Linked DNA regions of Diceros bicornis minor. The protein of the gene in region 1 purifies or fractionates together with the protein of each later gene. This does not show direct contact. Links are inferred from orthologs where the notes say so. Each region holds a gene or a part of one and is shown on either strand. Other genes may lie near its edges. The genes, in order: KMT5C and CBX3.

The links.
Region 2: the proteins of KMT5C (region 1) and CBX3 purify together in Homo sapiens (affinity purification with western blotting; 3 studies listed by BioGRID and IntAct, with this or other methods). This does not show direct contact. The link is inferred for Diceros bicornis minor from reciprocal best matches to the Homo sapiens genes KMT5C and CBX3.

The regions. Positions count from the first base shown.
Region 1 is NC_080773.1:33,333,103-33,349,334, reverse strand, and holds the start of KMT5C (histone-lysine N-methyltransferase KMT5C), read right to left. Parts: upstream 5,844-16,232; 5' UTR 5,774-5,843; exon of another isoform or gene 5,753-5,773; intron 3,333-5,752; exon of another isoform or gene 3,230-3,332; 5' UTR 3,094-3,229; coding exon 2,984-3,093; intron 2,825-2,983; coding exon 2,659-2,824; intron 2,653-2,658; exon of another isoform or gene 2,418-2,652; coding exon of another isoform or gene 2,391-2,417; intron 2,273-2,390; coding exon 2,163-2,272; intron 1,356-2,162; coding exon 1,192-1,355; intron 1,085-1,191; coding exon 1,065-1,084; intron 1-1,064. UniProt on the Homo sapiens protein: Histone methyltransferase that specifically methylates monomethylated 'Lys-20' (H4K20me1) and dimethylated 'Lys-20' (H4K20me2) of histone H4 to produce respectively dimethylated 'Lys-20' (H4K20me2) and trimethylated 'Lys-20' (H4K20me3) and thus regulates transcription and maintenance of genome integrity.
Region 2 is NC_080742.1:51,182,010-51,198,502, forward strand, and holds the start of CBX3 (chromobox protein homolog 3), read left to right. Parts: upstream 1-10,562; 5' UTR 10,563-10,666; intron 10,667-10,849; exon of another isoform or gene 10,850-10,943; intron 10,944-12,087; 5' UTR 12,088-12,115; coding exon 12,116-12,139; intron 12,140-15,044; coding exon 15,045-15,187; intron 15,188-16,493. Other genes in the region: HNRNPA2B1 (heterogeneous nuclear ribonucleoproteins A2/B1), read right to left, coding at 1,864-1,925, 2,655-2,777, 3,039-3,158, 4,437-4,499, 5,205-5,285, 5,362-5,463, 5,615-5,825, 6,157-6,303 and 3 more.

The DNA.
Region 1 (16,232 bases):
TGGCCCTCCAGCGCCATGTGCCCTGTCTGGGATGTCCTGCCGTGCCCCCATTTTCCTGCAACACCTAGGAAAATCCTACTCCTCCTTCCACGCCTGCCTCTGGCGTCACTCCTATGCGGCCTCCCAGGGCTGCCCCGCTAGACAACTGGCTCCTGTGCCCCGAGGAGACCAGCACATGCCTGGTCACAGCCTCTCACGGAGCCCTGCCTGGTTTCCTGTCTCACCCAGTGTCTGCACGCGGGGCCAGGCCAGGGCCACACCTTATCCCCCGAAATCCACGTAACAGCTCTACAGAGTCCCAGGAATGCTGACCAACGCCGGTGTGCACTGTGCACCTAACCTTCAAGCTGTCCCGGGAGGCAAGTCCTAACCGCTTCCCGTCTGAGACGAGAAACCAGGGCCGAGGGCGGCAGAGCCAGGACCTAAACCCAGTTCTAACTCCAGAGTCTGAGCTCCGGACCCCCTCGTCACACCTCAGGGCTCCCAAAAACAGCTGGACGAGGCCCACGCTTGGCAGGGTGTGCACCCAAGGCCTTCCAGGGCTACCTCCCCTCCATTCCTTGGCTCCCACGCGCTCCCTGCTCCTCCACACAGGACCAGCAGTGCACCTGGCCTCTCCTCCGCCTTGCTCCCTCTGCCTGGAAGCCGGCCTCCAGGGCTCTCTCTGGGCTCAGCCCAGGTGGCATGCATGGGCAGGTTCCTGCCACTCAAATGCTCTGCCTCCTGCTATCACAGCTGCGGGCAGTGGGCTCTTTCTGTCTTCCCATCACCACACGCCCCACTCAAACGGGCCCAGCCCCCAGCTCAGATTCAGAGGGAAGAACGCTGCCACCAGGTGGCCGCCCGGGTTCCAGTGTGCCTCTAGCCAGAGCCCTTTCCTCCCTCCCCTCTCCAAGGGCCACAGGCACAAACACCTGCTTCAGCGAACGGGCAGCCAGGGTGAGTGAGTGCTTTGTCAGGTGGGGAGACGCAGGACAGTTTCCTGCTATTCACTGACCAGAAGGCCCCTCCCCCGGGCCACCTCATCTCCCACGTGCCCACTCCTGGGGGTCCCCAGGTCTCACCTTGCAGTTGGGTTTGCAGTCTGGAGCCAGCCGGGGCCAGGGAGAGAAGAGACTGGGTGAGTGGAGGGAGAGGGAGAGGGCGGGGTGCCCCCCTCCCCGCCGGCCCTGCCCCCGCCACGGCCCCCACCGTGGTTGATGAAGGCGGCAGGGCCAAGCCACAGCTGGGCGCTGCGCTTGCGGGTCGAGTACATGATGCTGAAGTCGTTCTCGCCGGCCCTCAGCAGCCCCTCGTCGGCCTCCCGCAGCTCCGCGATGCAGCCCACCAGCAGCTCCAGCTTCTCATTCTTCTTCCTGCCAAGAGGCCAGGCCACAGCTCTACAAGCAGCACCTTCCCAACCACCCTAGCCAGGGACAGATGCTTCTCATCTGGGAGGCACCTGGGACTCCCGCAGGCCAGCGTCGTCCGCCTCCGAAGTCTCGCAAATCCACTCACCACGGCCTCTACACCTGCCCGGGGGACTGACCCACTCCAGCCACGGCAGCAGGCCCTCAGCTCCTCCAGCCCCAACTCCCCGCTGCCTTGCGCCTCCTGCAGCCCCGTCCTCGCCCCCTCACCTCACCAGACCCCCCAGCTCATCCTTCGGATCCCAGCTGAGGCCTGGCTCCCGAGAACACTCGCAAAGTTCCCCAGCCAGCTCCTGAAGCCCTGAGCAGCTGCGGTCAGTACCTGCGTGTTTACTCGGCTATCCCCTGCCCTCCTGCTACACTGAGTGGCTGGCAGGGCCATCTTGCTCTCTGCCCTGTCCCGCACCCAGACTGGCAGGGGCTCAGTCGGGATGAAGACAGGCCTGCACGGTCGTGGGCACAAGGTCAGTCCTTCCCGGCAGCCCCGGGAACTCTAGGGTCGCATCCCCTAGCAGGGCTACAGTGGGTGAGGAGGGTCTTCAGAACCAGCCCTCGACTCCTTCCTCTCTGCAGGAAACCTCCTGAACTCTGGCATCTTCGTGGCCTTGACGCCACCAGAGGTTTCCTCCTTGTCCCCTCAGTGACGCCCCCATCTCCTCCAGAAGGGACAGGGGTCTCCTCTGCCAGCAGCCCCTGGGGAGGGGTGCCTCCCATCAGGCGTGGGGCCCTTGGCTGCGAGTTCTGCCCTCTTACCAAGCTCGGGTAGACACAATCTTGGCCCCGTTTGTCTCCATGGAATAGCGGGTACAGGGCAGGATGGTAAAGCCGCTTTCAGGCAGGAAGGCGCGGAGGTAGCGATAGATCTGGGGGAGGTGAGCGGTGGGTGGGGTAAGGAGGTGGGGCAGGGTCGTCCTCCGCCCTCTCTCCTGGGTGCTAGTCCTGCTCTGCCACTGACTCGCTGTGTGGTCTCAAGGAACTCACTTCCCCTCTGGGCCTCAGCTTCATCATCTGTCAAGTGAAGAGGCTGGACTCCATCTCAGAGGGCCCCCAACTCTCCTCTCCCAGGATTCTCTGAGCCTCGCCTCAGACGGTCCCAACGGCTAGGAAGTCAGGGAGTCCCAGGGGGCTGTGCTGAGGGGCACGGAGCCCAGGGCTCCGGAGAGTCTGCCCCACAGGGAGGAGGACCTGGGACAGGCTGAGGTGACAGGAGAACACGCGGGCGAGGGCGGGGAAGGAAGGGCGCCCTCACGTGGGTCTTGAGGGCAGCCTCCTGCCGTGGGCCCCGGCTCTGGAAGTAGTGGGCCATCCAGCCTCCCAGCGTCAGGGCCCGGTACGCAGCCTCCAGGTCCCGCTGCCTCAGGAAGGCCTCCAGCGCCGAGCGCAGGTGGTGCTGTCGCCGCAGGGGGGGCACGGGGCTGGGGGAGAGGGCATGCCTGGGTCCCGGGACCTTGGCCTACTCCCTCGGGCCCTCCCGGGCCCCGCCCCCACCCCCACTAGGAGCTGAGGGGAGGACGGGGCTGAGGGGTGGCGGTGGAAGCAAGGGATCCCCCAGCCCTCTCCCCAGGCCGCCTCACCTGACGTTCATCTTGTGGGTGCGGAAGCCGAGGTAGGGGTCCAGGACGAGGCTGGTGGCCAGGTCGTCATTCTCACACAGTTCTCTGGCTGTCACTCTGTCGGGCCCCATGCTGCCCCATGGACCATGCTGCCTCTGGCCGAGTGGAGGGGGCAAAGCAGGGGCAGGGGCGGCACCCCCGGCGGGCGCTTGCTCCGGGCCACTTATAAGCTGTGCGGGACTCTGGCAAGCCCTTCCGTCTTCTCATCTACACGTCAGGGAGAATAGCAATGCTGACTTCACGGGCTCTCAGTGAAGGTGACATGCAACAGGTACTTCTGACAGTGGGGGAGCCCCCAAAGAAATCTAGTCTCCATCATTAGTATCTCCATCTCCTCAAATCCCCCACCACATGACCCCCCCCCCCACGTGCACACACACTCACACACGCAGATTCCCTCACACCCCTACACCACACCCCCACACACACGCATCCCTACTGGCCCCAGGAAGGCTGATTAATTGGCAGTCTCGGATAACCCTAAAGGCTTAGCGCTGCAAGAGGTGGGAGTCAGGGGGGACCCAGCTCCACCTCTGGCCCTCACCAAGGAAAAAGCCAAGGCTTCCCGCCCCGTCGGGACTGACGGTTCCTCTGCCCACCCCTACTCTCTCCAGGCTCGGCCTTGGCCTCCACCCCACCCCCCATCAGCCCTCAGGAGGGAGTCTAGGGAGGCTCTGGGTGAAGCCCCAGGCAGCCTGGAGGGGGGTGAGGGGAGGGAGAGCTGAGGAGGGATCCCGGCACCTGCTCCCTCTCCAAGGATTCCAGGGGCCAGGGGGGGGCTGGAGGACAAAGCGGGGGAGGGGGGAGAGAAAAAGAAGGGTATGGAGAGGCAGAACAGGTCCATAAAAAGAGGAGAAAGAAGGGGATTGGCAAAACGGAACAAAACAAGACCCCTAACCCTGAGAGCGGGGGGCCTGCTGGGCACCCACACCACGGTGCTTCACAGAGTCCACAGAGGACAGCAAGGAAGGGGGACTAAAGAGAAGTCAGGAGCTAGAGTGGCTGAGAAAGGGGGTCTAAAAGACAGGAAGGCTGGGGATAGATAAAGAGGGGCGCTGCGGGAGGGCCCTGGGACAGAGCGGAAGCTGCAGGGGGGCATGTGGGTAAAAACAAAACACAGGGACCTCACAGAGGGACCTGGGGCCAGCCCGGGGAGACAGAGAGGGCTGCAGGAAGGCTTGGGGGTCCTGGAGGGAGCCCAGGCAGGCCATGGGAGACCTGGGGTCCACAGAGGTGCTGGGGGAGACAGGGCTCCAGGAAAGCTTGGGAGTCCTGGAGGGAGCCCAGGCAGGCGAGAGGGGAGACCTGGGGTCCACGGAGGGTCCTGAGAAGGTGGAAGTGGGCCTAGGGATCCAGAACAGGGCTTGGAGAAGCAGAGAGGGACAGAAGTAGTTCTGGGGATCCAGGGAGGAGCACAGGAAAGCCGGAGGAGAGAGTCTGGGGTCCAGGGAGGGACTGGGTGGGCAGTGAGGGTCCAGCAATAGGAGTCGGGGAAGGAGACAGGGGCTTGGGTGGGTAGTGTGGGTCCAGGGGAAGGACCTGAGGTCCAGGGAGGGAAGTAGGGGAAGCAAACAGGAGCCTGGGTGGGCAGTGAGGGTCCAAGGGAAGGGCCTGAGGTCTGGGGGGCAGTGGGAGAAGTGGACAGGGGCCTGGATGGGCAGAGAGGGTCCAGGGGAAGGGCCTGAGGTGTGGGGGGCAGTGGGGGAAGCGGACAGGGGCCTGGATGGGCAGTGAGGGTCCAGGGGAAGGGCCTGAGGTCTGGCGGGCAATGGGGGAAGCGGACAGGGGCCTGGGTGGGTAGTGAGGGTCCAGGGGAAGGGCCTGAGGTCCAGGAAGGGGAGTGAGGCAAGTAGACAGGGGCCTGCGTAGGCACTGAGGGTCCAGGAAGAGGAGTGGGGGAAGCAGACTGGGGCCTGCGTAGGCAATGAGGGTCCAGGAAGAGGAGTGGGGGAAGCAGACTGGGGCTTGGGTGGGCAGTGAGGGTCCAGGGAGAGGAGTGGGGGAAGCGCAAAGGGGCCTGGGCGGGCAGTGACAGTGCAGGGGAAGGGCCTGAGGTCCGGGGGGCAGTGGGGGAAGCGGACAGCAGCCTGGGCGGGCAGTGAGGGTGCAGGGGAAGGGCCTGAGGTCCGGAGGGCACTGGGGGAAGCAGACAGGGGTCTGGGTAGGCAGTGAGGGTCCAGGGAGAGGAGCAGGGGGAGACAGGGGCCTGGGCGGGCAGTGAGGGTCCAGGGAGAGGAGTGGGGGAAGCGCAAAGGGGCCTGGGCAGGCAGTGACGGTGCAGGACAAGGGCCTGAGGTCCGGGGGGCAGTGGGGGAAGCGGACAGCGGCCTGGGCGGGCAGTGAGGGTGCAGGGGAAGGGCCTGAAGTCTGGAGGGCATTGGGGGAAGCGGACAGGGGCCTGGGCGGGCAGTGAGGGTCCAGGGAGAGGAGTGGGGGAAGCGCACAGGGGCCTGGGCAGGCAATGAGGTCCGGGGAGGGGAGGGGAGAGTCAGAGGGCGAGCTGAGGAAGGCCGGGGAGCGGCAAGAGGCCTGGGTGAGGAAGCACAGGGAAGGGGCTGGGCGCCGAGAGAGCCTGAGGCTCGCGAAGAGCCAGGAGACTTAGGCGCCTGGACACGAGGAGGGACAGGGTGGGGCGGGGGGCAGTCGGGGCTGGGGGCGACCAGGAGCCAAGGCGGCGCGGGGCGGGGGCCGAGAGGGTGCTCAGAGGTCGGGCCCCGCGCCGCCCCTCACCCGCTTCTCCTCCTCCTCCACCTCCTCCTCAGGCGCCCGCGCCGCCGCCGCCACCACCTCCCACTGCCTCCTCCGGCTCGCGTCAGACACCGTCGCCGCGCCTCCCGTCTGCCCCGCCGCGCCCGCCCCGCCACGGCGACCGCGGCCTCCCATTGGCCAAGGCCGCCGCCACTCCTCAGCTCGCTCCGCTCCCATTGGTCGAGCCCCACTCTGCCCCTCCCCGCCCGACCCCCGTCAGTGCCCCCACAAAACCCCGCCACGCCCGCGCTGCCGTCAAGTGCCGCCAACTGCTGCCAATGGCTCCCACCGCTGTCCCTCCGCCGCTGCCATGGAGACTATCCCCGCCCACTGCCCGAAGTCGACGCCCTCATTGGCCGAAAGCGCCGTCGCTCCAGGCGAAACTTGGGTTTGGGTCAGGTTACTCGGGTCCAAGCGGAAAGAGGGCGGGCTCCACCGGCTCCAGAACCCGTATGTGATTGGCTGGCCTTGGAACGGCTCATCCTTCCATTGGCTAAGGTCTGAGCCGGTCACCGTAGAGTCGCGACCTCTCTATTCTCTTTCTCTGGTGAAACCTTCAGCCGCAGCAGGGAGACAGCAGGAGCAGGCCGGAGGGGCGGTGGGGGGTGGTAAATGCGCGCGCACCTTCGCCCAGCCCCTCCCCGCCCCGCGAGCCCTGCGGTTGCCACGGCGACCAAACTTTATTGACAACTCTCCCCGGATACAAAGGGCTGTCTCTCTCCCTCCCTCCCAGACCACCTTCTCTTTCCCCAAGTACCCCTTTAATTTTGGGAGTACCCACAATAACATTCTGTGGGGGAAGGGGTTGGAAACAGGGAGACTGAGAAGTGGGGGCTTTGGAGAGAGCCCTGACTTATGGGGCGCTCCCATGGGACACCCCCCCAATTGGGATCACCCTCCCCTCCAATCCTACAGGCAAACATAATTAGCCATTCATCATAATTACGCCCAGAATAATAAGCTCCGCACTTGGAGCAGGCGGTCTTTGTTTTGCTGAGTGCTATATATCCTGTACGCTTGGAACAATGCGTGGCACGGAGTAGGTGCATCGTTAATATGTTATGAATGAATGAATGAATGAATGAATGAATGAAGCTCATGGTTTCTGCGTCGCTCTGTGGCGTTGAAGAAGTGGCTTGCCGTCTCTGGGCATCTATAAAACAAGAACCACACTTGTCCCTCTCTGAGGGGTCTTCCTTAACACACTCCGAGGTGTCCTCCATCCGTGATTCCAGTCTCCCACCCTCTGTTCATACTGTTCCTTCCCCACTAGGACTACTTCCAGCCCTGAGAGACCCTTTCCCCTGGATCAGAATGGCCACAGCTCCAAAGGAGAGAAACAGCCTCACCCAAAGAAAGGAAGTCAGCAAGCAGAAAGGACTCTATAAAAACCTTAGCTCTCCGAAAAGTCCTATCAGTATCTGAATCTTAAAAGTACGGCCCTTCTACTCGCCGGTACACCCTAGAGAAACTCACGCAAATGTGAACAAAAAGACAAGCACAAGAAAGCTCGACAGTAGTGTTTGTAACGGTGAAAAACTGGAAACGACTTACATGTCCATTACACGGAGAATGGATAAATGGATCATGGCATATTCATACAGAGGAACACCATACAGCAGTGAAAGAGGGTGAACCGGTGCTCCATACATCAACCCCGACAACCCCAAAGCGTCGTGTTGCTGTTTGCAGAAGTCTACATCGTCAAATGCAGGAAGTTTTAAAACACGTAAAACAGGGTTGTGTGTGGATGTTGTAAATGTCTACAAACATGCACAGGCATGACAGAGGGAGGGGGAGCCCTAGTGGTGACCCCTGGGGATGCCGTGGAAAGAATGCAATCAGGAAGGTTACGTAGGACATTGTTACGGGTAATTTTTTTTTCAAGCCCGGAGGTGGAAACCATGAATTCACTATATTCATTATCTGTTCTTTTTCTACATGTCAGAAATATTTCATAATACGAATAAAATTTTGACCCACCAATTTCACTTCCAGGGTTTTATTCTGAGGAAATAACTGAACAAGTGTTAAATATTTATACATAAAGATGTTTGTCTCAGCATTGTTTAAAAAATAGGCAAAGCCTTAATGTCCAACAGTAGGAGATTGGTTGGACCGATTACAGCACATCCACCAGATGGAATAACAGCGATACCTAACGGTTACTGTGCTCTTAGCACACGAAGCAAGAGGAGCCGGACACGCGAAAGGCACATATGGGATGATTCCGTTTCTATGAAATGTCCGGAATAGGTACATCCAGAGAGACAGAAAGCAGGTTCGTGATTGTCAGGGGCTGGGCGCTGGGGGGCTGGGGAGTGACTGACAATGGATGTGGGGTTTCCTCTTTGGATGAAGAAGTTCTGAAACTAGAGAGTAGTGATGGTTGCAAAACGTGGTGCATGTACCTAATGCCATTGAATTGTACACTTTAAAATGGTTAAAATTGTCAATTTGACATTATGTGTATTTTACCACTAACAAAAAAAAAAGAGAGAGAGAAAAAAATGAAGAATCACCTCGGGAATGTAGTGGAAATATAGATTCTAAGGCTCAGCCTCCGAAGAGCCTGGTTGAGTATTTAATAATCAGTCATTTTAGAACGTTGCTACCCAAAGTGTGGCCTGTGGACCAGCAGCATCAAGCAGGATCACGTGGACGCTTGGTAGGAATGCAGAATTTCCAGCTGCAGCCCAGACCTCCTAATCAGAATTACCCAGACTGGTGATTGGAATGCTCCAGAATGTTTGAGAAGCATGCCTTGGAAGATGCCTTTGAAGGTGGCTTCTTCAGACCATATGTTCACACACTGGAGGGACATTGTGGGCTTGCTAACTCCCAAGGTGGTGCATGGCTTATGATCAAGGGGAGAAACTTGTTATAAAACAGTAAATTCAGGGGGCTGGCCCCGTGGCGTAGTGGTGGGTTCACGTGTTCTGCTTTGGCAGCCCCGGTGCTTGCGGGTCTGGGTCCTGGGCGCGGACGTATACACTGCTCTTGAAGCCATGCTGTGGTGGCGTCCCACGTACAGAATAGAGGAATATTGACACAGATGTTAGCTCAGGGACAGTCTTCCTCAAGCAAAAAAGAGGAAGACTGGCAACAGATGTTAGATCAGGGCCAATCTTCCTCACCAAAAAAGAAAAGAAAAGAAAAGAAAAAAACAGTAAATTCAGGATGATCATATTTTGAGGGGAAAGGGATATCTATTTACACGTATATATAAATTAAATGATTGAGGAGAGGATGCGGAGAAAAGGGAACACGTGCACTGTTGGTGGGAATGTAAATTGGTGCAGCCACTATGGAAAATGGTATGGAGTTTCCTCAAAAAATTAGAAATAGAATTATCATATGATCCAGCAATCTCACTTCTGGATATATATCCAAAGGAAATGAAATCACTATCACAAAGAGATAGTGGCACTCCCATGTCTACTGCAGCGTTAATCACAATAGCCAAGACATGGAAACAACCTAAGTGTCCACCAACAGATGAATGTGTAAAGAAAATGTGGTGTATATATACACACACATGTATATATGATGGAATATTACTCAGGCATGAGGAAGGAGGAAATCCTGCCATTTGCAACAACATGGATGAACCTGGAGGACAATATGCTAAGTGAGATAAATCAGACAGAGAAAGACAAATACTGCATGATCTCACATATATGTGGAATCCAAAAAAAAGTCAAACTCATAGAAACTGAGGAGTAGAGTGGTGGTTACCAGGGGCTGGAGGGTGGGGAAATAGGGAGACATTGGTCAAAGGGCACAAACTTCCAGTTATAAGATAAATAAGTACTGGGGGTGTAATGTTGACCATGGTGATTATAGTTAAAAATAATATATTGTATATTTGAAATTTGCTAAGAGACTAGATCATAAGTGTTCCTACCGCACACACACACAAAAAGGGTAACTATGTGAGGGGATGGATGTGTTAACTAGCTTGATAGTGGTAATCATTTCACAATATATACACATTCAAACCATCGTGTTGTACTCCTTAAACACATATAATTTTTTTGTCAATTGTACCTCAACAAAGCTTGAAAAAAAATAAATGGTTGGGGCCGGCCCCGTGGCTTAGCGGTTAAGTGCCCACGCTCCGCTACTGGCAGCCTGGGTTCGGATCCCGGGCGCGCACCGACTCACGGCTTCTCCGGCCATGCTGAGGACGCGTCCCACATACAGCAACTAGAAGGATGTGCAACTATGACATACAACTATCTACTGAGGCTTTGGGGGAGAAAAAAAAAAGGAGGAGGATTGGCAATAGATGTCAGTCAGAGCCGGTCTTCCTCAGAAAAAAGAGGAGGATTAGCATGGATGTGTTAGCTCAGGGCTGACCTTCCTCACAAAAAATAAATAAATAAATAAATAAATAAATAAATAAATAAATAAATAATAAAAACTGTTTAAAAAAATAAATGGTTAAGCGGGAGTTGTCTGTTTTCATATGTTATTTGTGTAATAACAAAATGTATATAATAATAGAATAAAATATAAGTATTACATGCTATACGGTAATTTATATACATATCTATCTATCTATATACCTATGCATATACACACATACACACACATGTACATCTCTATCTATCTATTTGTGTCTCATCTATATCATCATTATCATCATCATCATCATTGTGCTCAAAATTCTGCAATGGATTCACACCTTGGTAGCCAGCCTCCAAGATGACCCCCAGTGACCACATCCCCTTCTGGGATTCACACTGTGGTGTAGCTGCTCCCACACTGAGGAGGGCTGAGCTGTGTACCCAAAAGGATAGTGCAAAAACGTTGGCATGTCGAAGGCTAGGTCATCAAAGACATTGTGGCTTCCACCTTACTCTCTTGGGGATCATTCCTCTGGGGGAACTCAGAGCCATGTCGAGAGGTCATTAAAGCCACCTTGTGGAGAAGTGCACACCGAAAGGAACTGAGGTCTTGTGCCAACAGCTGGAGAGGAACTCAGGCTTCCTGCCAACAGTTTGACAGTCAGGTGAGTGAGCCACCCTGGAACCAATCCTGCTGTCTGGAACCAAACCAGCCAAGCCTTCGGAGGACTATGCTCCCATCGATCGACAACTTGACTGCAAGTCAGGAACAACCCCAAGCCAGAACTGTCCAGCTAAGCCACTCCTGGATTCCTGACCCATAGAAACTGTGGGAAATGATAAACGTTTATCGTTGTCTTAAGCAGCTATTGTTAACTGATCTACACCTACATGAAAATCTGAAGTTCTTACAATGGTCCCCCCGTTATTCCTCTGACCTAACTTATTAACTGTTCTCCCATCACTCACTCTGTCACAGTCCCGTTGGCCTTCTTGCTGGAAGCCAAACTTTCCACTTCTCAAGGTCTTTCCCTGCCAATCTCTCTGCGGAGAAAGCCCCGCCCACTCTCTCACCAGCCTCTGGTCTTTGCTCAAATGTCACCTCCTCAGGGTGACCTTCCCTCACGCCCTGGCTGGAAGACCCCACCTACCCGAGCCATCGCCTTACTCTGCTGTATTGCTTCATAGTCTCGGGACAAGCTACATAATAATTTGTGGGTCCCAGAGCAAAAAGAAAATGCAGAGCTCCCTGTTCAAAAATTATTAAGATTCAAGATGGCGACAGCAGGCATTAAACCAAGGTGGGGCCCTGGGTGACTACATAGGTCACATGCCTATGAAGCTGGCATTGCACGGTACCCTACCCTACCTGACATCATATATCTCTGTTCACTGGTTCTTTGTCCTTCTCCCCAGTTGGAACATAAGCCCTAGGAAGGCAGGGACCCTTGTTTTGCTCAGGGCAGAGTCTCCAACGTCAAGGGCAGTGCCTAGCACATCAGTGGCACTGGATAAAGACTTACTGAATGATTAAATGAATAACAACAAATAAGGAAGTCTGATCCCAAAGGAGACAGAGTGCCCTCAAAAGAGCTCTATTACCCATGGAACGGGAGAAAATCCTCACAAATCACATATCTGATAAAGGATTTGTAATCCAAAATATGTAAAGAATACTTACAACTCAATATTAAAAAAGACAAAAAACCCAATTAAAAAATGGACAAAGGTGGCTGGCCCCGTGGCCTAGTGGCTAAGTGCAGCACACTCCACTTCGGCGGCCCGGGTTTGTGGGTTCGGGTCCCGGGTGTGGAAATACACTGCTCGTCAGCCATGCTGTGGTGGTGACCCACATATAAAATAGAGGAAGACTGGCTCAGATGTTAGCTCAGGGCTAGTCTTCCTCAAGAGAAAAGAGAGGAAGATTGGCATCAGATGTTGGCTCTGGGCTAATCTTCCTCAGCAAAAAAAAAAAAGAAAAAGAAAAAGAAAAATGGACAAAGAATCTGAACAGACATTTCTCCAAAGAAGGTATACAAATGGCCAATAAGCACATGAAAAGATGCTCAACATCATTGGTCATTAGGGAAATGCAAATCAAAACCACAATGAGATACCACTTCACATCCACTAGGATGGCTATAACCAAAAAGGCAGATAATGCGAAGCCCTGTTGAGGATGTTGAGAAGTTGGAACTTGTGCACTGCTGGTGGGGATATAAAATGGTGCAGGCACTGTGGAAAACAGTCTGTTAGTTCCTCAAGATGTTACCATATGACCCAGCAATTCTACTCCTAGGTCTCTACCCAAGAGAAATAAAAACATATGTTCACACAAAAACTTGTACACGAATATTTATCACAGCATTATTCATAACAGCCAAAAGGTGGAACTAACCCAAAAATCCATCAACTGATAAATGAAAAAAACAAAACGTGGCAAGGAAATGCTGACACATGTTACAACATGGATGAACCTTGAAAATGTTTTCCTAAGTGAAAGAAGCCAGACACAAAAAGACAAATATTATATGATTCCACTTATATGAAGTACCTACAATAGTCAAATCTGTAGAGACAGAAAGTAGAATGGTGGTTGCTAGGGGCTTGGGCAGGGGCAAATGGAGCGTTATTGGTTAATGGGTATAAAGTTTCTGTTTGGGATGATGAAAACGTTCTGGAGGTAGATGGTGGTGATGGTTGCACAACAATGTAAATGTACTTAATACCACTGAATTGTACACTTAAAAGTGGCTAAAAGCTAACACTTATGTATATTTTACCACAGTAAAAAAAAATCTAGAGCAAATTCATATTGAATGGTGAAACACTGAAACTTTTTCTTTCAAGTCAGGATCAAGACAAGAACGCCCCCTTACACTGCACTCAGCACTGTTCTGAAAACAGCCAGTGTCGTAAGGCAAGAAAAAGAAATGAAAGGTGTAAGAATTGAAAAGAAAGAAACAAAACCGTCATTAGTCACAGATGTGATTATATACCTAGAAGATCCAAAAGAAGCTCCTGATAAAATATCAGAATTAAAGAGAGAATTTAGCAAGGTTGCTGGATACAAAATCAATATATGAACATCAATTGCATTTCTATTTACCTGTGTGTCGGGGGTCCCCAAGACGACCTCATGTTTGGAAATTCACTAGGACTTATGGGACTCAGCATAGAGTTGGACTCATGGCTAAGCTTTACGACAGTGATGTGGGATCATAAGGGGAAAAGTCACAGGTGGAGTCTGGAAGAATCATGTGCGGGTTTCCTCATGCTTTCTCCCTCCCATGAGGATCGCAGAGCTCATTCTTCCTCCAGAAGCAAAAATGCAGCAACATGTGCGTGATATTTTTGTCCAAGGGGGCCCACTGGAGACTCAGCGCCCAAGGCTTTTATTGGTGACCAATCACGTAGGCACTGTCTGCCTAGCACATACCAAAATTCCAGATTCTCAGAAGGAAAGCAGGCATTCAGCATAAACCACACAGTCTGCACAAACAATCCAGGCACAGTGAGCCACTCAGAACACTTGGACAGCCAAGTCCCAGGACACCAACAAAAGGCCAACCTCGCAAGCATAATAGCCAACTCAGGTCCACTACATTGACCATTTTCTCTTTAATCATCAACACACTTTTGTGTGTGTGTGTGTGTATGAGGAAGATCAGCCCTGAGCTAACATCTGCCAATCCTCCTCTTTTTGCTGAGGAAGACTGGCCCTGGGCTAACATCCGTGCCCATCTTCCTCCACTTTATATGGGACGCCACCACAGCATGGCCTGACAAGCAGTGCGTTGGTGCGCGCCCGGAATCCGAACCGGTGAACCCCGAGCTGCCGCAGCGGAGTGCACGCACTCAACCACTTGCGCCACCGGGCCGGCCCCCATCAACACATTTCTAAAATAAAAATTTAAACAAATACGGCTTCCAATAGCATTTATAAATATCCAGCACCAAGGAATAAATTTAACAAAAGATGTGCAAGACCTCTTCACAGAAAATCTGTAAAACCTTATTGAGAGACCTTAAAGAAGATCAAAATGAATGAGGAGATATATGCTATGTTCATGGATTGGAAGTGAGAAGGGAGAGAGTGGGATGGAAGATTTAAGGAGAATGAAAAATGTTTGGGCCATTCTCTTCCCATCTTCCTTTCTTTTCCCAGTGTGGAGGTAGTAAGGGGTGGGAACACAGAGGTGGCAGGTAGCAGAGATGGCCAGCTCAGTAGATTTACATATTTGCTCAATGTAACCAATCTCAGTCACATGGCCATTGTCCCTGTCTCCTTATAGCTTTGCTTCCTCCAGAGGTTGAAACCTCTTGAGGGCTCAACTGTGTGTTCTTAGCTCCCAGAACTTGGATGGATGGATGGATGGATGGATGGATGGATGGATGGATGGATGGGTGGAGAGAGAAAGAAGTGCGCGTGTATGTGTTTGTGCATGTATAGTTGGATGGATGGTATGGTAGACAAATGACCCCCAAAGATATACATACTTTCTAATCCCTGGAACCTGTGAATATTACTTTATACGGCAAAAGACATGATTAAGGTAAAGGACCTTAATTGAGAGCAGGACCTTATCTTGGATTGTCCCAGTGAGCTCTAAATGCCATCACATGTACTATATAAGAGAGAGGCAGAAGGCAATTAGACACAGAGACCTGCACAAAGGAGAAGGAGGAGAGATTGGAGGAATGCTGGCAGCTGTAAGCCACAGAATGCCAGCAGCCAAGGAACGCCGGCAGCCACCGGAAGCTGGAAGAAGCAAGGAACAGATCCTTCTGAGGGAGCACAGCCCTGCCGACAGGTGAAACTGATGTCGAAATCCTGGCCACCAGAACCTTAAGGGAACAAATTTTTGTTGTTTTAAGTCACCAGATTTGTGGGAATTTTTTTTACAGCAGCCACAGGAAGCTAATACAGACGGTTGATTAAGTGGATTGGATCAGTGGGAAAGTGGATGGTTGAATAGAAGGATGGATTGTAGGGCAAATGGGAAGAGGGGATTGATAGAACAGATTAAAGAATGAAAGAACATATGGGTGGATGAATGGATAGTTGAATGGATGGATGGAGCTTTGAGGGCTGGAAGAACATAAGAACAAATGATGACTGGATAGATAGGCAGGTGGGTGGATGGGTGGATAAATAACTAGTTGGATAAATGCACAAAGGCAAGAACATATACACAGATGAATGGATGGGTTGGGTGGAAGGTTGGATGGGTGGATATGTGGATGGGGATTTGAGGAGGTAGCATGGAATGTTGGAAAAAAACACATTTTAGAATCTGACAGACCTGGGTTCTGACCCCAGCTCCTCCACTCAGTAGCTGAGTGACATTGGGCAAGTATGGTAGCCAAGGTGGCTCACTCTTCAAGAAAGAACTTGATCGACGGTGAGGAATGCGTTTGGCCAACAGCCCATAGCTGCAGTACCTGCAACTAATATTTTTTGGGGATTGAGGTCACATTCTTTTCGGGCAGCCACCCACCAATGACTAAGCATGGGGGGTGGCTACTAGAGCCTGGCCATTTCCACCCACTTCTCTCATGGCAATCTTTTTTTTTTTTCTTAATTGAGATAAAATTCACATAGCACAAAATTCACCACTTAACCATTTTAAGGTGTATAATTCAGTGGCATTTAGTGCAATCACACTATTGTGCAACTATCACCTCTATCTAGTTCCAAAACATTTTCATCAGCCCTCAAAGACGTGATTAAGCAATCACTCGCCCTTCGCCCCTCCCTCCAGCCCCTGGCAACCACCGACCAACATTCTGTTTCTATGGATTTGTTGACGGGAAATCTTTGCACTTCATCTCCCCAGTGGGGCTGGCTGGGGTTTCTCAGAGATTCACAGTCTGAAGCTCTTCCAACCCACGCCTTCCTTCCCCGTCTCCTTTCCCACGGGGCAGACCGACCTCCCTGCCTATTTCTGCTCCCTCTCTCCTTTATCTTTACTGGCATCACCCTCCAGTAAATCCCCAGCATTGCTAATGCCATTGCAGCATTTTCTTCTGGGAGGACCCAACGACCCAGCAAGACTCTTTCTCGGAGCCCCAGCTATCTACTCTACAAAGCAGTGCAACTTCTCAGG
Region 2 (16,493 bases), on another chromosome or scaffold:
CCAAATTGAAACCCAAGTATTTAGCACTGGATACATAGAAGATTTATAACGTAGACAGGCACTTTATTCATTAAAGTATAAACTATTATCTGAAAATTTAGATTCAACCATTATGCCCCTACCTTTTCCTTAGCCTGATCCTGATAAGCATGTAAAGCTAGAACAACCATATCAACAGAACATGTAACAGAAGAACACAATGTCTTTATTTTTAATAAAAAATCCTAGTTCACTCAAAATGCTTGATCCAAGAAATGTGAATACACAAGGGTGTAACGATGGGAAATTTCATGATTCATTGAACTTGCAGCCTAACTGTTACCTACCATTTTACTACCAACACCACTGAAGGAACCAAGAAAAGCTTTATTAATGATCACTTGGCTTGCCTCAGCTGTTGAAATGAAGCACTTTACAGTCTTTGTGGCAGCAGAATATACTTGTCCATGGTTCATAGCAATGCTAAAATTCCAGCAGGGAAAAAAATGATATGTTAAGCACCTGAATCTTCATAGAGGGGGAGGGGGTGGGGGAAAGAAGGAAAAAAAGGGAAAAAACAACCAAAATGATTTAAGTAAATGACAGATTGGAAAACAGGGTTTATAAAATTATTCTCTTGAGTTTATAAATTGTTAAACTCAATTTAATTTATAGCTATGTTAAACTACATTAAGAATCACTATACTGAAAGACCATTTAAGAGTATTAGTTTATCTTTTGGGGAGGAAAATTAAGAAAGGAAAAGTAAATAAGATCTTACCTAAAGAAGTTTAACTGAAGCTTAGAACTATTTTGCTCTACACCCTCAGCTTTCGTTGGCATCCTTATAAACTACTGTAGTTTAAAGCTTTGTAGAAACAGCACAGTTTTTTAAGACTGGCTGAACTTAGTAGCCGTCAAGAGTTCTCTTGTACTAGACCTGTATCCCTGAAGAGTACCTCGCTGGGGTTATTTCCTTTCCTTGCATTGAAGAAGCAGCATCTAAAAGATCTAAAAAGGTGTTTCTCCTTGCAGAGATATCCCTTAAGTTATCTAGATAATTTAATCCTGATGAATTGCAGACAACACACTTATATCTGACCAACATTTATCTTACACAAATATAACAACAGCTTTGCAATGGACCTTAATTATACTACCCACTCCTTAACTTATTTAAAATAAAAAGTCTATAATTACACAATTTCCTTTAGAATTATTTTATTAAATCATAAATGTACAACAGCTTCTTAACTCTACACACGCACTTAAATTTTTTTAAAGGAAAAACGTTATGTCTTATTACACCATGATCCTGGCTAATAGCTTTTCAAAACTTTGAGAAAAATCTTAAAAAAGGTTTCACATGTCACCTGAAACTTACAAATTTAACATTATCAAAGAAGGAATGCTTCTACACTCTTACAAAGACCACTAGAAAGAAACAACAATTAAAAAGCTAAGAAACTGTCTCGAAGGCATTTTTTTTTTTTTTTTTTTTACAATCCTTCCTCCACAGTAAGGTAATGTTATTAAATAATCCAATCCATTCACAAAATGGCTCTCTGCATCTGCTCTGGTGTCTTCTGCCATATCACTGCATATTTATGCATGACTGAGATAAGTTTCCTTAACATTGTTATTTCGATAACCTGAAGCTGTTCTGTTACCTCTGGGCTCTCATCCTCTCCTATTTATACAGTGAAGCCTGTTTCAACAGAAGTAAAGAGTAAAAAAAAAATAGGTTATGAAATTATCCATCTAACCAGATTTTAAGGAAAGATAACATGATCCTAAAAAGCTTTTACTCCTGGCAGCTAGGTCTCCCAAGAAATAATAACATAAAACTCAAAAGACACTTACCCATGGCAAATAGGAAGAAGCTCAATATCGGCTTCTTCCTCCATAACCCCCACTTCCTCCACTGCCTCCTGGACCATAGTTTCCTAGAATTGTTGGAAGAGCAAGAGAAAGCAAACTTACTTCGATTTCCCATGATTACCTTAATACTATAACTGATTCTATTTTATAGCCATATACTCTCTAAAACGAGATCATAACCCATTGTTTCTAGTTAAGCTAATTACTTAGGAGATAAGTTATCCAGATTCATAGCTATGATAATTTCATCCTTTAAAATTAGAAAACATTTTAACAATGCTTTTCTTTTAGAGAGTTCTCCACCACAATCATTTGGTTAGAAAGGAATTAAAAAAAAAAGTATACCAAGCACAAAAGGCAAAAGAAATCCGGTCTTACTAAAAACTTTCTCAAGAGTAACAAACAATGGTTTGAGCTTATTTACTATAACTTTAAAAGAGACAACTCATACAAATTTATACCACTTGCAATGTGCTCAGCAATTTTATTTGGCTGCCTCTTAAAAAAAGGAGCCAAGAAAAGGAAAACAAGAACCCCCACCCAAAATATTAACCTACTTTCCCAACTCCTAATTATTTTACATTACTGAACATCCCACCTTGACCACACCAACTCCAAAAACTGATGTTAGACTTGTTTCCTTCCGTAAAATTTTTATTTCAGTAACACTATATATGGTGGAAGTGTTACCCAAACATAAATAAACTAACAATTACCATAGTATCTTTCCTTCAAGTCATGCAAGACCAATCCTTTAATAACACAAAATAATTTTAAAGAATCTAATAAATTACCTCCACCATATGGTCCCCCCATGTTCCTGCTACCACCAAAGTTTCCACTCTTCATTGGACCGTAATTAGAAGGCTGCTGGTTATAATTTCCAAAATCATTGTAATTTCCACTTCCGTAATTTCCTGTGGGGGAAAAAAATGGAATACTAGCTTTGCATAATGAACCTCAGAATACAATCAAATATTAAGCCAGCAATACATGTTAAGTATTTAGGACAAATCTCCCACAAAAACAAATCATTAGAATAAATGCAAAACACCTATCTACAATTCTACAATTTTTAAAGACAACTATTGACAATATTAAAATGAAAAATCTCACGTGTTAAAAGTCATTCATTTCAATCCAAAATCCCACATAAAGGTTGCAGGTGAATTTATTACCTCCTCCATAGTTGTCATAACCACCTCCGTAGCCCCCACCCTGGTTGCCATATCCAGGTCCTCCACCACCATATCCTCCTCTTCCTCCTCCATAACCAGGGCTACCTCCAAAATTGCCACCTATTATAAAATAAGCCTTTAAGTAATTACTTAGTATTTTCAGTGCCATTTGAACTGTCTTATCACACCCATTTCCAGCTTTCCAAAACACTTATTTATAGTAAAATATTTGTTCTGTGAAATCTTTTCTAGAATAGCCTCAAGGGCAGAATAGAGTATCTTTGGTAAACATCTGAGGGCAGGAAGTGCCTACCCACAACCAACTGGATAAAACCTTTATAGAGAAATACCTGTAATGCCACAGCTCTCCTCTAAATCTAAAGATATTAAGGGTGCTCCTGAAGGCATCCTGAAATACTATTTATATTTTGTGTAAGAGTTGTGGGGGCAGACAAGAGGCGAAGCCTAGTGAGAGAAAGTAGAAGAGCCACATCCTCCTACTGGTCCAAAAGATCGCAGCTCACGTTTCCCTATGAATTACCATGTCTCTTAAACAACATGCCCAGTACCCTCTTTCTGAGTAGAAATGGGGGGGAGGACCAGAAATTAGCAAACTTGCATGTAATTCAAAAAATTAAATTGGTACAGGTAGTCTCAAATTACATGTAGTTTAAATACAAGAACTCATCTTTCTCATAACACCCAATTAATATTTAGATTTCAAAACAAAGTTGGAAACGATGCGATGTAGGAGTAACTTAAGTCATGCCTAATGAGTGGTAAAGACAGAAAACAGGTCTATCACTAGCTCAGAGTTTTAATGTCCCTTTCTTATTAGGACATTTGTCACCCAAGTATCAACCTTTTTTGTACTCCAACAAAAGATACATCTAATGTATCATGTGATATAATAGTGGCTCACAACCTTAGCTGGACCCAGGAGCACACTTATGTATTTTGGAAAAGTTCCTTTGGTGACTTTTTGGATGTTCTCCTGTGGGACTTATCTTGCTAAGAGCCAAGTAAGACACAACTGCCCTTATATACACTCCCCTTAAATGCTTATCTTGGTCATATCCAGTATTCTTTATTTTTCCAGGAAAACAGACTATATAAAGTATCACATCTATGTCCAATTCTTTTGCTTAAGAAACCAAGGGATAACATGATGCCATCTTTAAATTCTCATTCAAAATCCACTCAAATGATTCTGCAACCTATACTAACAACTATAAGTACACTCTTGCTTTAAGCTGTACAACAGCTAAGATGTAAAGTAACTGTAAAGAAAGAGTCATACATTGAGAGAAATTTCACAAATACACTCAACTAGGCCAACATACAGTGTGATTAACTAAGTCTTTAAGTCACATCAAACGAAACGCAGAAGAAACTGACCTCCAGGTCCTCCTCCGTACCCATTATAGCCATCCCCAAATCCACGACCACTTCCATATCCATCTGTTAGAGGCAGAAAAAATATATTATATCCTGTTCACCCTACTCGATTCCTCACCCTGTTTTCCTCTACATTCTCTATTAGTTATCTCTGGATGAAAATTATTAGGAACCATCCCCCTTACGCTGGAAAACTGGTGTTATGTGTTTATTCTTAAAAATAAACACACAAAAGGGTGTAACTAAATCTCATTATCAGGATAACTGCCTAATTTTGGGGCTTGAACTTGGCAAGTCTCAATTTAAGAGACTCCACTTATTTATACTTAAGAGGGACACTGGACCGGGATGAAAATTTTCCTATTGGCGTCTTTATATTAATTTAGATAAATATATCTCAAGCCTAAAGCAAAAAACTTAAGATACAGACCTTTTTAAACCCACAGGCAAGCCTCTATGGTATTTTCACTCACTATTCAGGAGAATCCTCATAATTTTTAAGGTGGTTAGAATGTCATTTTAGCTTTTTTAAGAAAATTGGAGATCATAAAAGGATGTGGACAATTCACTGTCTTTGATTACAATTTTAAGAATATCTTCTTTAACTATTTTCTCTTGCCACATCAGAACATCCTACCAGGATACAACCTATTTAAAAAGCCTTAAGGATAACTTTTTAAAATTAGGTTGTACTTCCTGATTCTAATCAAAACTTAATCATATTTTTAATCAAGTACATTCACCCTAACACTTAGAACTTGAACTTACCAGATCCTCCTCTGAAGTTACTTCCAGGTCCAGGTCCAAAATTCCCACCGCCACCACGAGAATCTCCAAAACCAAAGTTGCCTACAATAAATTTTCTGGTTAGTAACAAGCACCGATACAAATAATTTTTTTTTTTTTTTACTGGAATTGAAGTTACCTCCTCTTCCACTTCTAGAACTTTGGACTTCTTGCATTTCTTGTCTAGACAAAGCCTTTCTTACTTCTGCATTATGACCATTGATGGTATGGTATTTCTGCACTGAAATGAAAAATTCAGACTCCATTAAGTCAGCATTCTATAATAGTAACCAACTCATAAATTAAAGTTTACCTTTTATTAAAATTGTAATGTTAACATATGCAAAATTTAACATATGAAGCAGTCACACACCTAATTCTTAGACACTTACACACAATCTTATCCACAGGATCATGGTCATCAAAAGTAACAAATCCAAAACCTCTTTTCTTTCCCGACTGCCTATCAGTAATTATCTCAATAGTATCAATTTTTCCATATTCCTCGAAATAATCTCTAAGATGATGTTCCTCAGTATCTTCTTTAATTCCACCAACAAACAGCTTCTTTACAGTTACATGAGCCCCCGGTTTTCCAGATTCCTGAAACAGTGGGAGAAAAAAAGGTCACCCGCATAGAAGAAACCAAATATGATTGAAAGCACACTATGTGGGTACCACAGATGGCTTCTACTCTACGATAAAATACCAAGCAAAGCAATGGCTTGTAAATAAGAATGTAGTCTTTTGAAAAATACTTCTGATAAGTCTAGAAAAATCAAAAATACAGAAACCCAACATAGCTTTAATGAGGAAAAAAATTTTCAGCTAGATACACAGCATCTAGTTAGTTCTTCCAAAAACTACATTCTAATTTTCAGTGGGACAGAATTTTCTTCACATTTATTGCACAAAGAAATTATATTTTGCTCACCTCTCTTGCAACAGCACGTTTGGGCTCAACCACTCTCCCATCAATTGAATGAGGTCTTGCAGCCATGGCAGCATCAACCTCAGCCATAGATGAAAAAGTTACAAAACCAAATCCTCTTGATCTTTTGCTTGCAGGATCTCTCATTACCTATACGACCAAAGGGGAAACGTTAGCATTTGATCTCATTACTTGTGTTATGAACTAGCAGTACGAATTGATGGCTGATTTAAGTGATTTTTTCCACAACTCACTTAACATTTTAAAAACAGAAGCTCAACAGCTGAAGGACTACTATCTGTAGGCACTTTTACATTTAACGTACCACACAATCTGTAAGTTTTCCCCATTGCTCATAGTAGTTCCTCAAACTTTCTTCTGTGGTTTCAAAGCTCAAGCCACCAATAAAGAGTTTACGGAACTGTTCCTTTTCTCTCTGCAAAGGAAAACACCATTTCAATTTTTATTTACATTTTCTCTTTGTATGCAGGAAATTAAATTCTTAAATATGAGGTGACCTGCTGGCAGAGTACCTTTTTCCTCTCCAAAGGAACAGTTTCTAAAGTTTTCTGGGGGGGAAAAAAAAAACTTACATCAAATTTAAACCATATGTTAAACTGCATATTAGTTGTGTTACACCAAAAAAATTGCCTCAGCTGAACTACACAAGTTTCAAAGTCATTAATGCTTGATCTAAATTTACTTGACATTAAATTATTTCAAACAAATTTATTATCACTTATTTTTAAAAATACTTTCTGAAGAGAAAGAAGCAAATCTACTCCCTGGTCATTGAAGGGTTAAAGGATTCTCATCAAAATTAGCATTCAATCCTATATCCCACAGAGAAGTTAAAGTTAACTTTTAAAAGCTCAGTTGAAATCTTTTTTTTAAACATAAAAACTGTTGGTTCCTTACTTATAACTCATAGTTTACCATTTACTTCTGGATTCAGTATATCTGAAAAGTGACATTTTCCCCTCATTGCTCCCTCTGGTGGTGATTCTAATGCATCTCATCAAAAAAAAAAAAACCCCCTGGTAAAGATCATTCTTTCCCATACACCAACTCTCGATTAGGGAAAAAAATTCAAACCTTCAGTATATGCTCCAAAACATCCTTAAAATTTACCTCTCTTCTGACCAAGGCAGACTTTTTTAATGACCGTTGGTGTCTAAAGCTTCAAGTTTTAACATAACTGACTTTTTGTGGGCACCCCCATGTTTGGTTATTTAAATGACAGTACAGAAACAATCCGATTATTGGACCAATAACCATAAATACAATGAATGTAATCATTTTCTCCCAAAAACCACAAAAACGTTTAAATGACCACTGTGACTATTCAGTAGTTACATATTTAACTATCATTTACACTTCAATTCATTTACCAAAAAACCCGAAACCTCAAGTGTATTTAACTTAGTGGCCACCTGGCAAACTACACAAGTTACATCTAATTTCACAAATAAAAAAGAAAAAAGGCTAGGCTGAAATTTTTTAATCCCTATAAACCAGCAAGCAATTATGTTGCATTAATAGCCCTGTATTTGGGACTCTCAGTTAAAGAATGCATCATTATAATTTCCAGGTGACTAGGTTAAAAAATTAAAAATATTCAGAAACCCAATAAATCATAACGTCCAGGACAATCTGCTGTAAGTGTATAATACAAATTAAAATGTAAAATATAATTTTCAATACAACAGGCGATAACTTATTCCCAGCAAATAGCATTACAGCTCTCAACCCACAGTTCTATGGAGGTTTCTCCTTCAACGCATGATATTCTCCCAACAGCTCAAAAAATACAGCGATAAGAAACAATTTACAGATTTTCTTCCTACATAGTTAACTATTTTCAGGATTCTGAAAAATTTTAAAAGATTAACAAACTATTAAACTAGCTCCCGAGATGTTTACTTAAAACTACCAAAATGGTTAATTATACGGCATATTGATATTTGGATTCTTCACTTTACACCAAATACTGTCAGTAAACACGTCTTTTAAAACCCAAATTACGGAAATTTTAAAAAGCACATCTACAACAATTTTTACACATCACCAACAAAAGGCAAAAACTCATTACTTACCTCTGCTTTTTCCAAACTTACCCGATGTCCACTATCGATTACAAACAAAGTTATTTTTTAAGCGTGCTTAGGGTCAAAGAAAATACTCAGGTAGACCCCCTTCGCTTGAGACCTTATGCTTATCAATGTAATGATCAACCACGATTGCAAACATAAATGAGAAAAGTGACAAAGTTCAAATACAGAGCGGCCTAGCCTAACACAGTTCTGTATACAGCAATACACGCACTGAAGGACTGAGCCATGTTTTAACCGAAGTACCACTAAGAATAAACTCAATTTTTTTCTTCACTCTCCTCAAAATTTCTAACATCATTTACAAGGATCCGTAGTCTTATCCAGTAAAGATCACATTTCCCAGAAAAAATAGTATTTAAAAAAGGAATAAATTCTACCATTCTAAGGGAATCCTTCAGGAAAAAGTCCCCCCCACCTCCTTCCCCGCTGCCACCCACGCAGTCGGTAGTAATCTGACGGTTCCAAATTCTGACTTATTTCTCAAGTTTCCTGCGATTCAACTGTCTTTTTCATCACTGCAGGCCCAAACAAAACCGTTACTCAAAGAAACAGGACTGGAAAACAAAATGTCTTCTTTGTACGATGGCTCGCTTGAAACCGGCCCCCCACCCTCGCTCGCTTTACCTCCTCGGACGCCGCGCGCCCGGGCCCCGGAGGAACCCCCCCGCCCGCTGCTCGCTGCGGCTTCTGGACGCAATGGCGCCATTTCATCGAGGGGAAGGGAGGGAGCCTCTAACGAGGTGCGCAGGACTTTAAAGATCCAAGCTCACAAAACCCTCGGAATCCACCTCGAAACGGCATGAAAACAGCCCAAGAAGAAAGAAAATTAGTTAACCACTTCTCTTCTTCGGTAAAAGAATCAAACTAGCAGAATTCAGAGGTCGAAAAGAAAAATGCTGCGAGGAAGGAGAGAAATGAAAATGGCGGCCGCCAAATCCGGTTCCCGGGAGAGAGGGGGAGGGGAAGCTCCGCAGCCTCGCTCACGCGGACCCGAAACTCGCCGAAACGCTCAAACGGGGGCCGCCGGGGCCCCCCAATCGGCGTGCTTCACGAGGGGAGTAAGAATTGCCGCCTCGGCGCTCCGCTTTCACTACCGCGGGCCGCGTCCGCCATGTGGAAGTTCCCCATCCCCCACCCCCAGCAAAGGGAAATGGCGCCGGGAGGCTGAGGGTGGGGAAGGTGCTGTACAATCAGGCCTCCGCTAACAGCCCTCTTCGAAAATATCCTGCGACCAACCGCTTCTTAAGTGGCCCGATTTCACTGCCGCTCTCCGTCGGAGGCGGGGGGGCCGACTTCCACCGAGGCGCCAACGGCCTCGCCATGCCCTTTCCAATAACTCATTGATTTCAAACCCGTTACCTCCATCGCGGACTCAGTCGCTTCAGCCCGATTTCCCGCAGCCGAGCGAGATGAGAGAGATCTCCGCGGACGAACACGGACCGGACTCGTCCTGGCGCTGTAGTGAGAACTGCCGCTGCTCGAGAAACAACACCGCTAAGAGCACCTCCGCACAAGACCCGGCGTTGCTGCTACTGCCGCTAGAGCCGCTGCCGCCGCTTTTCTAGAACCTTCCCCCCGACTAACGCGTCTTCCCCTACGTCAGGCCGTTGCGTAAACGCCCTAACCGCCGCCAATGGCGGGAACGCTCTACCTCCTCCTTACGCCAAGTACGTACTCCTCCCCCCCTTGCGGCCAGCGGTGGTGCTTGACGTCACTTGCGTAAATGGGCTCAGTGAATTGCGGAAGGCGCGAGTCCTGCGTATTTCTCTCTCTCCGAATTGGGTCCAGCCCCCGCCTTAGCGCAGGGCAGGTAAGAAACGGTCGCGCAGTTTGAAATGAACGCTGCCGGGAGGAGCTTAATCCGCAGCTCTCAGGTCCAGCCCCCTCAGCCCAGGAGGTGGTCCCTGCAGCAACGCCGTTGATAATCCGCCCCCCCTCGCCCCCGTTCTCCCGCCTTAAAAATCTTTGTAGCCTCCCCCCTGCGTTTTCCCTCCCCCACCCCCTTCCCCTGCGCCGAGGACTGACTCGGCCCCTTCCGGAAACACCCGAAGCGACTGTAGTCAACAAATTACACTTCACCCTCCACCAACCTAACCCTGGCCGACGTCTTTGGGACTGACCCCTCGGGTTCAGAAAAGGTCTTTGCAGAGGGTGGTCCGAAAGGGGCACTCTTTCTCAGTGTCCGATTCCCCCCACCCAAATTTATCTTCATCCTCTCACCCCCAACGTTTGGAGGCACGCACCCCCAGGGGCGAGGAAGTGGGCGGAGTCCGGTTTTGGCGCCAGCGGCTGCTGCTGCGAAGCAAAAACGCCTCCGCCGAGAGGACTCTGGACAGCGTCCTCGCCCCTCCTTCCCTCTTCCTCCCCTCCGGGGACCACCAGGCGCCACGCCGCGAACGGTAAGTGCCGCTGTCGCCACCGCTCTCCCCCCCGCCCCCTGGGCCCGGGCTCCCGGCGGGCGCGGCGCCGCGCGGCCCCTCCCCCCCGCCGGGCGCGCGCCCCCTGCCCCGCCCCTGGCGGCCGCCCGGCGTGGGCGGTGCCACCCTCCCCCCCCCCCGGCGGCCGCCCCGCGCGCTGCTCCCCAGCCCCCTCCCCCTCGGATGTGGCTGGAGCTGGAGGCGCGCAGGGCCGGAGACGCTGCAGACCCGGGACGCGGAGCAGCTCGGAGGCGGTGAAGTCGGTGTCTTTCTTTCTCTCTAGTTCTCACTCGGTGGTGGCGCTTAACATACCACATGCGCCCCAGCTCCCCACCCCCTGGCCCCTGCTTCCCGTCCGACCCCGAGTCGGGAGCTGGTGGGAAGGAGCGGAGAGGCGAGCGGAGACCCCGCGGCGGGCCTGGCGCTGCGCCGACGCCTGTAGTTAAGTGGGGGACGAGACTGTCCCCGAGAAGGTGGAGAGTCGTGGCGACAGTCGCCTTATTTCTAGACAAAGCGCATTTTCCTCTCCCCTCCCCCATCCCGGATCACGATGAGGGGCCCTCCTCCCCCTCCCGGGCTTGGCCGGCGACTGGGGCCTCCAGGGAGGGCGGTGCATTCTCCCGCATCCGCGCGGCCAGCTTCCTGGAGGCTGCGGCGGGCGCTCCGTTATGTGGCCGCCGCCGGGGGCGAGGCGCGAGCCTCGTGGCGCAGTGCCCTTGAGCCCCCGCGCGCGGCCTTTGTTTCTCCCCGCGGATGCGCTGACCACGAGGCCCGCGCTCCCGGGTGGGGGGCGGGCGCCCGGCGTTTAGGCCGCATTCAGCAGGGTGGGGCCTGGGGCTTGGGAGCATATGGACGTACCGAAGAGGTGACTTGTTTTCAAAAGTGGCACGAAATGGGCCTGAAGCATCTCAGTGTGTTTTTCTTTTAGTGTTTTAACTAGTGATTGGGAAGAGGGAGGGTTTCTAAGAAGAAACCAAGTTGGGATTACATAGGCGACTCTTTGGACTGTTAAGAGGTCTCGACGAAAAATTCACGGTAGTTTAGGAAATTGTCCGATTTTGAACCAAAATATTTGGCCATTTTGTAAAGAATACTGAATATGTATAAATGGCATTTGAATTGAAAAAACATATTTGTCTACTGTTTTTCGGCCAGCGAAGCTGTTTCAAGTCCCAATGACCTCAGTAAGGTTTTCTAGACTCGCTGTTAGAACACTGATATATTCTCAGGCATATTCTCTCTAATAATTTACGCAGGAGCTTAAATCTGCTTTTGTATGGATTTGTATACATGTTTGATAATATGGGCTACATAGGTGGGGGTTGGAATCCAAACAAAACTTGTATTTAGCTACCTTTTTTGTGTCGTGCAAACTTCCTTTTAACTGTCATGCGTTTTTCTAGTAATAGCTCTTCAAGTCTGCAATAAAAAATGGCCTCCAATAAAACTACATTGGTAAGTTAATGAAAACCTGAAATATGTAAGGATCTAACTCAAAATTTTTTCCCCAAAAATTATAACTTTGCGTCTCTGTGGTTCAGAAATTTACATCTATATGTATTCCCCAGTCCCTTCTCTCCCCAGTGTTGTTATGGGGAGAATTAGGGGCCAAAACGAAGTCGTTACATTGAGATATTTACTGACTTGCCTGGATAGTGTTTTAATTCATTGAAAGAAACCTAATCTTGGGAGGATAGCGCAATGTGAATTTTAATGAGTATTTTTATCTTGAAATACAAATGCACAAATTTATGTAACATGAAAGAATATGTTACAAGCATAGAGAAAGCAGTAAAGTCTTGTTGATTGGCATAATATTTTCTAAATCACTGTACTGAATTCTAGAGAAAGCAAGTATTTTCAGTATTGCCCAGTGTCAAAAACAGGCACCTTGTACACTTAGATTGGGGCAGAAAGTGAATCTTCCAAATTACTTTCATCACGTTGTCATATTTCAGACTTGCTTATTCTAAAGTCAGACGGGCCTTAAAATTAAATAATTGCAGTGTTCTGGTAATACACAAAATGAACACAATCATGTATGTCCAGGAAGGAGAAAAGACTCGATCTTTCAAGCAATTTTTGGTCTCTAGCAGTTTCTTAAATCCAAAGTTTGCATTCTCAGGCTTCATTACAAGTTCTGCAAATGTGTAAAAGCCATGTCAAGTTAGAAGTTTAAAAAAAACACGAAATTCAGTTACGGTTCCCACAGTATTTAATTCTAACACTGCGTTAATAATAATCGAAAGCATATAAAGGTGAGTGTTAATATCTAAATAAAGCAAAACATTTGGTTTTAGTTTGTATTGTCTGTTGGGTTTCACAATTAAAAGGGCAAGTTGGTGATTTTAATTTGTGCCATCATAGGTTTGCCCATTTAAGTCAAATTTCCTGGGAAACAAAAACAACTATAAAGCCTATGTGGTGAGTCTCTGTGGCACAAATGGTTCCATCAAAGCCATCAGTGGGAAAAGCTCTTAGCATGTTCTGTGCCCCCTCAGGATGGAAGTGTCCTTCAAATTCCATAATCAGTAAAGGAAAGTAGAGATAATAAATTGATTTTATGAACACCTGTGTTCAAGTATTGGTGGGGAAGGGAACTAGCTGTTCATGAGGCTTTGAGGATGAGTATAGATACAGAAAGCAAGCAAATAGATGATTCCATTAAAATTAAGTTGCTTTTGCATATAATTTGATAGTTTTCAATGTCTGTAACTTACTGGTATTTAAATATTCTTTTGTAGGGGATCACATATTGACAACTTTAAAAGTTTTTATTTGACTTTTCATTTTAAAATAGTGTTGTGAGATGTGTGCTATAATTTAAATGGTAAAGTGAATGAATTTTCTTTTGAAAAGAAACAAATGAGCCCTTGAAATTAGCTTGAGTGCCATAGTAGTAAATACTTCATTTTTTATGCCAATTTTTTTCTTAGTATTTTTGTCCTTTTCATTTTCTGTGTTTATTTTTGTCATCCTCTTTATTCTGTTAACCTCTTACCTTCATGGACATAGCTGTTCTGGTTTTCATCTAGGATCAGTATCTAATAAGCTTTTGTCTACACCAATTTTTCTCCACTCTTCCTACTACCATTCTTACTTGCTTTTACTGAACAGAAGCAGAAAGCTATCCGACGGGGTGCAATACCCAAGTATCTTGATTAATGGAAATTGTAAGGCCTGACTTGGAGATGGTATCCAACAAAATCAGATGTTTGCTGCATTTTTTTTAATTCCAGAAGATTTTTATTTCTTTGTGTGTATGTGTACCTCTAAATGACTACATGGTTTTAATGTCCTTTTGCAATCTTGAGGCATTGCTGTTAACTTATATGCTATATTGAGGGATGACTTTAGTAACTAGGCAATTAGGATTTTTTTTTAATAGCAGCTTTAAGATGAAATAATTTTAAAACGAACATAACATTTGAGGTTTTACCCCCTTAGTCTCTCCTAATTAACCATTTCTGTTTTCAAAACATTTATTCATTTTCAATCCTTGTAACAAATCTGAGTTATTAGAAAATGGCAGGTTGAGCCTGGTCTGCTTCTCTCAAATAGTGTTATGCAAGAAAGAAACTTAAAAACTTGTTTGAAGTGAATTTCGTTGGCTACCAGTTTAGACTCTTTCTCTTGAGAAATGAAGAAAGCAGGATTTTTTTCACAGAGAATAAAAATAATCCAGCATTTTGGCCTCTTGAAGTGACAGCATTATAGCTTTGTCCCAAGTGGTCAGTAATACTGTCTACAGAGATTATGGAAAAATAATCTGTCCTTTTTAACTTATTAAAAAGGTCTTCTTGGTTGACCCTGCAATTGATATCAGGATTCTGAACTGTGTTTTCATTCTGCAGTTCCCTTTTTTCTATATTGTTGAGGCTTTTAACGTTGCTGTTTGAATTGGGAAAGGGGTTCTTAGTGTTTGGGGGCTGTAGTTGTAATGGGTCTGTGGTTCACTTAGTAAGGCCTGTCGCTGCTACTTACTTTCCTCTGTGTCATCCTCTAATACTTTCTAGTTGGGGTTGCTGTGTTGTAGTTAAAATGAGTGAAAATTTGAGTAAATTTGGTCTTGTAGACTAGATAGAAATAAGAGTAGGAAAACATAACAGTATTTTCCAGATAGTGTTTTTGATTGTATTATTTCAGTGAAGGGTGGTGGGTGTTAGGCTTGAGCTAAAGCAACAGGATTAAGCATGCCTTTATTTTATTGATTGTCCAGTGACTTTTATCTTTTCAGAAGTTGTCTGTCCTGGGATATAGAAGTAAAAATTTAGATGTCAGATGCAACGATTAAGCAATTTAGCCTTTAAAATGTACTCAAAAATTAAAAAAGTTGTTTCTTAAATTTCTTTTGTTTTAGCAAAAAATGGGAAAGAAACAGAATGGAAAGAGTAAAAAAGTCGAAGAGGCAGAGCCTGAAGAATTTGTGGTGGAAAAAGTCCTGGATCGACGCGTAGTGAATGGGAAGGTGGAGTATTTCCTGAAGTGGAAGGGATTTACAGAGTAAGAAATCTCCTTTTATTGTATGTTTAACTGCACCTAAGTTGCATTTAAAATTTTTTTTTAGCCTGAGATCTTTTATCGGTTTTCACATAGGTGTCTTCAAATTTAAAGATACCTTTAATCCAGGGTATCTTGTTTGATATCTATTTAAAAAGAGCCAAGTCTTTAGCCCAGTGTTGTAACTAAGCAGATTTGAGGTTAGTTGATTACGTTGGAGAGTCAAATTTATAGAATTAGAGTGCAGTTTACTATGTAAGTAATGCATTTTAATGTAGTTGGATTTTGTACTAATTAGAATACCTACTCTACATACAGAGGGCACTAAAAAACATTGAAGCTATATGGTGTAGATTAGTGAATCTTAAACAGAAGTGCTCATAATCCAGGTCCTATGCTAGATTTATTGTATCCTAATCTCTAAAAAGTAGAATCTGGGCATTTTTTAAGCTCCCTAGTTCCTCATGTTCTTTATTACTAACTGCTCTCATAATCACTCTTGATAACGTTAGATGTATTGTAAGTAACTTACATGCAGAAATTTTACTCATACACTTACATTTATCATGTACTAATCTACTTGGATTCTTCTGCTTTATACCACCAAGACAGATCTAGGCTCCATGGGCAGTGACTGTTGATAATGGATAGGTGGAAATTGACAGCAGTTTTCTGAGCATGGTGGAGATGTGGAGTATGGTAGTCAAATTGTGATGCTTCAAATAGCTGTTATCTACTACTTCCCCCAACATTCACTTTTGAAGCCATCTCCATAGCAATTTGGGAATAATGAGTTGATTGTAAGATTTAGGCTTCCCTATTTTATCCTTCTAGTGCCCTTAGTTGACCCTAAGTATATATCATAAGTTCATAATTTACCACTAGAAGAATTTCCTGCAGATAGCAGAACCAAGGAAAAATAAGTCTGAACTATTTCTAAAGTAGATTTAACCAATTTGCCAAAGAATTGATTATCTTCATGTGGTAGACAGGCTTTTGTTTTTTGTTTTTTTTAAGAATCCCATGAGACATTAAAGTCTGTTTGTCTACGACCGACCCATCAAAACATTAGGAAACTACTCCTCTCTCTTTCTTCCCAAACTTAAGGCAACTAGTATGATTGAGAACCTGCTATATGCAGTATACTGTATTAGTTAATAATAGAAGGCTATAGTGAAACTACAGAACGGAGGCTCCACTTCAGCTCCTTTGTCCTCCTCTACCCTCTAATGTAGATTTGCCAGTTTTGGAGTCCTAGGATATCCACAGACGAAGTTGTAACTAGAGGTTAATGGCACCTTTCCCACCC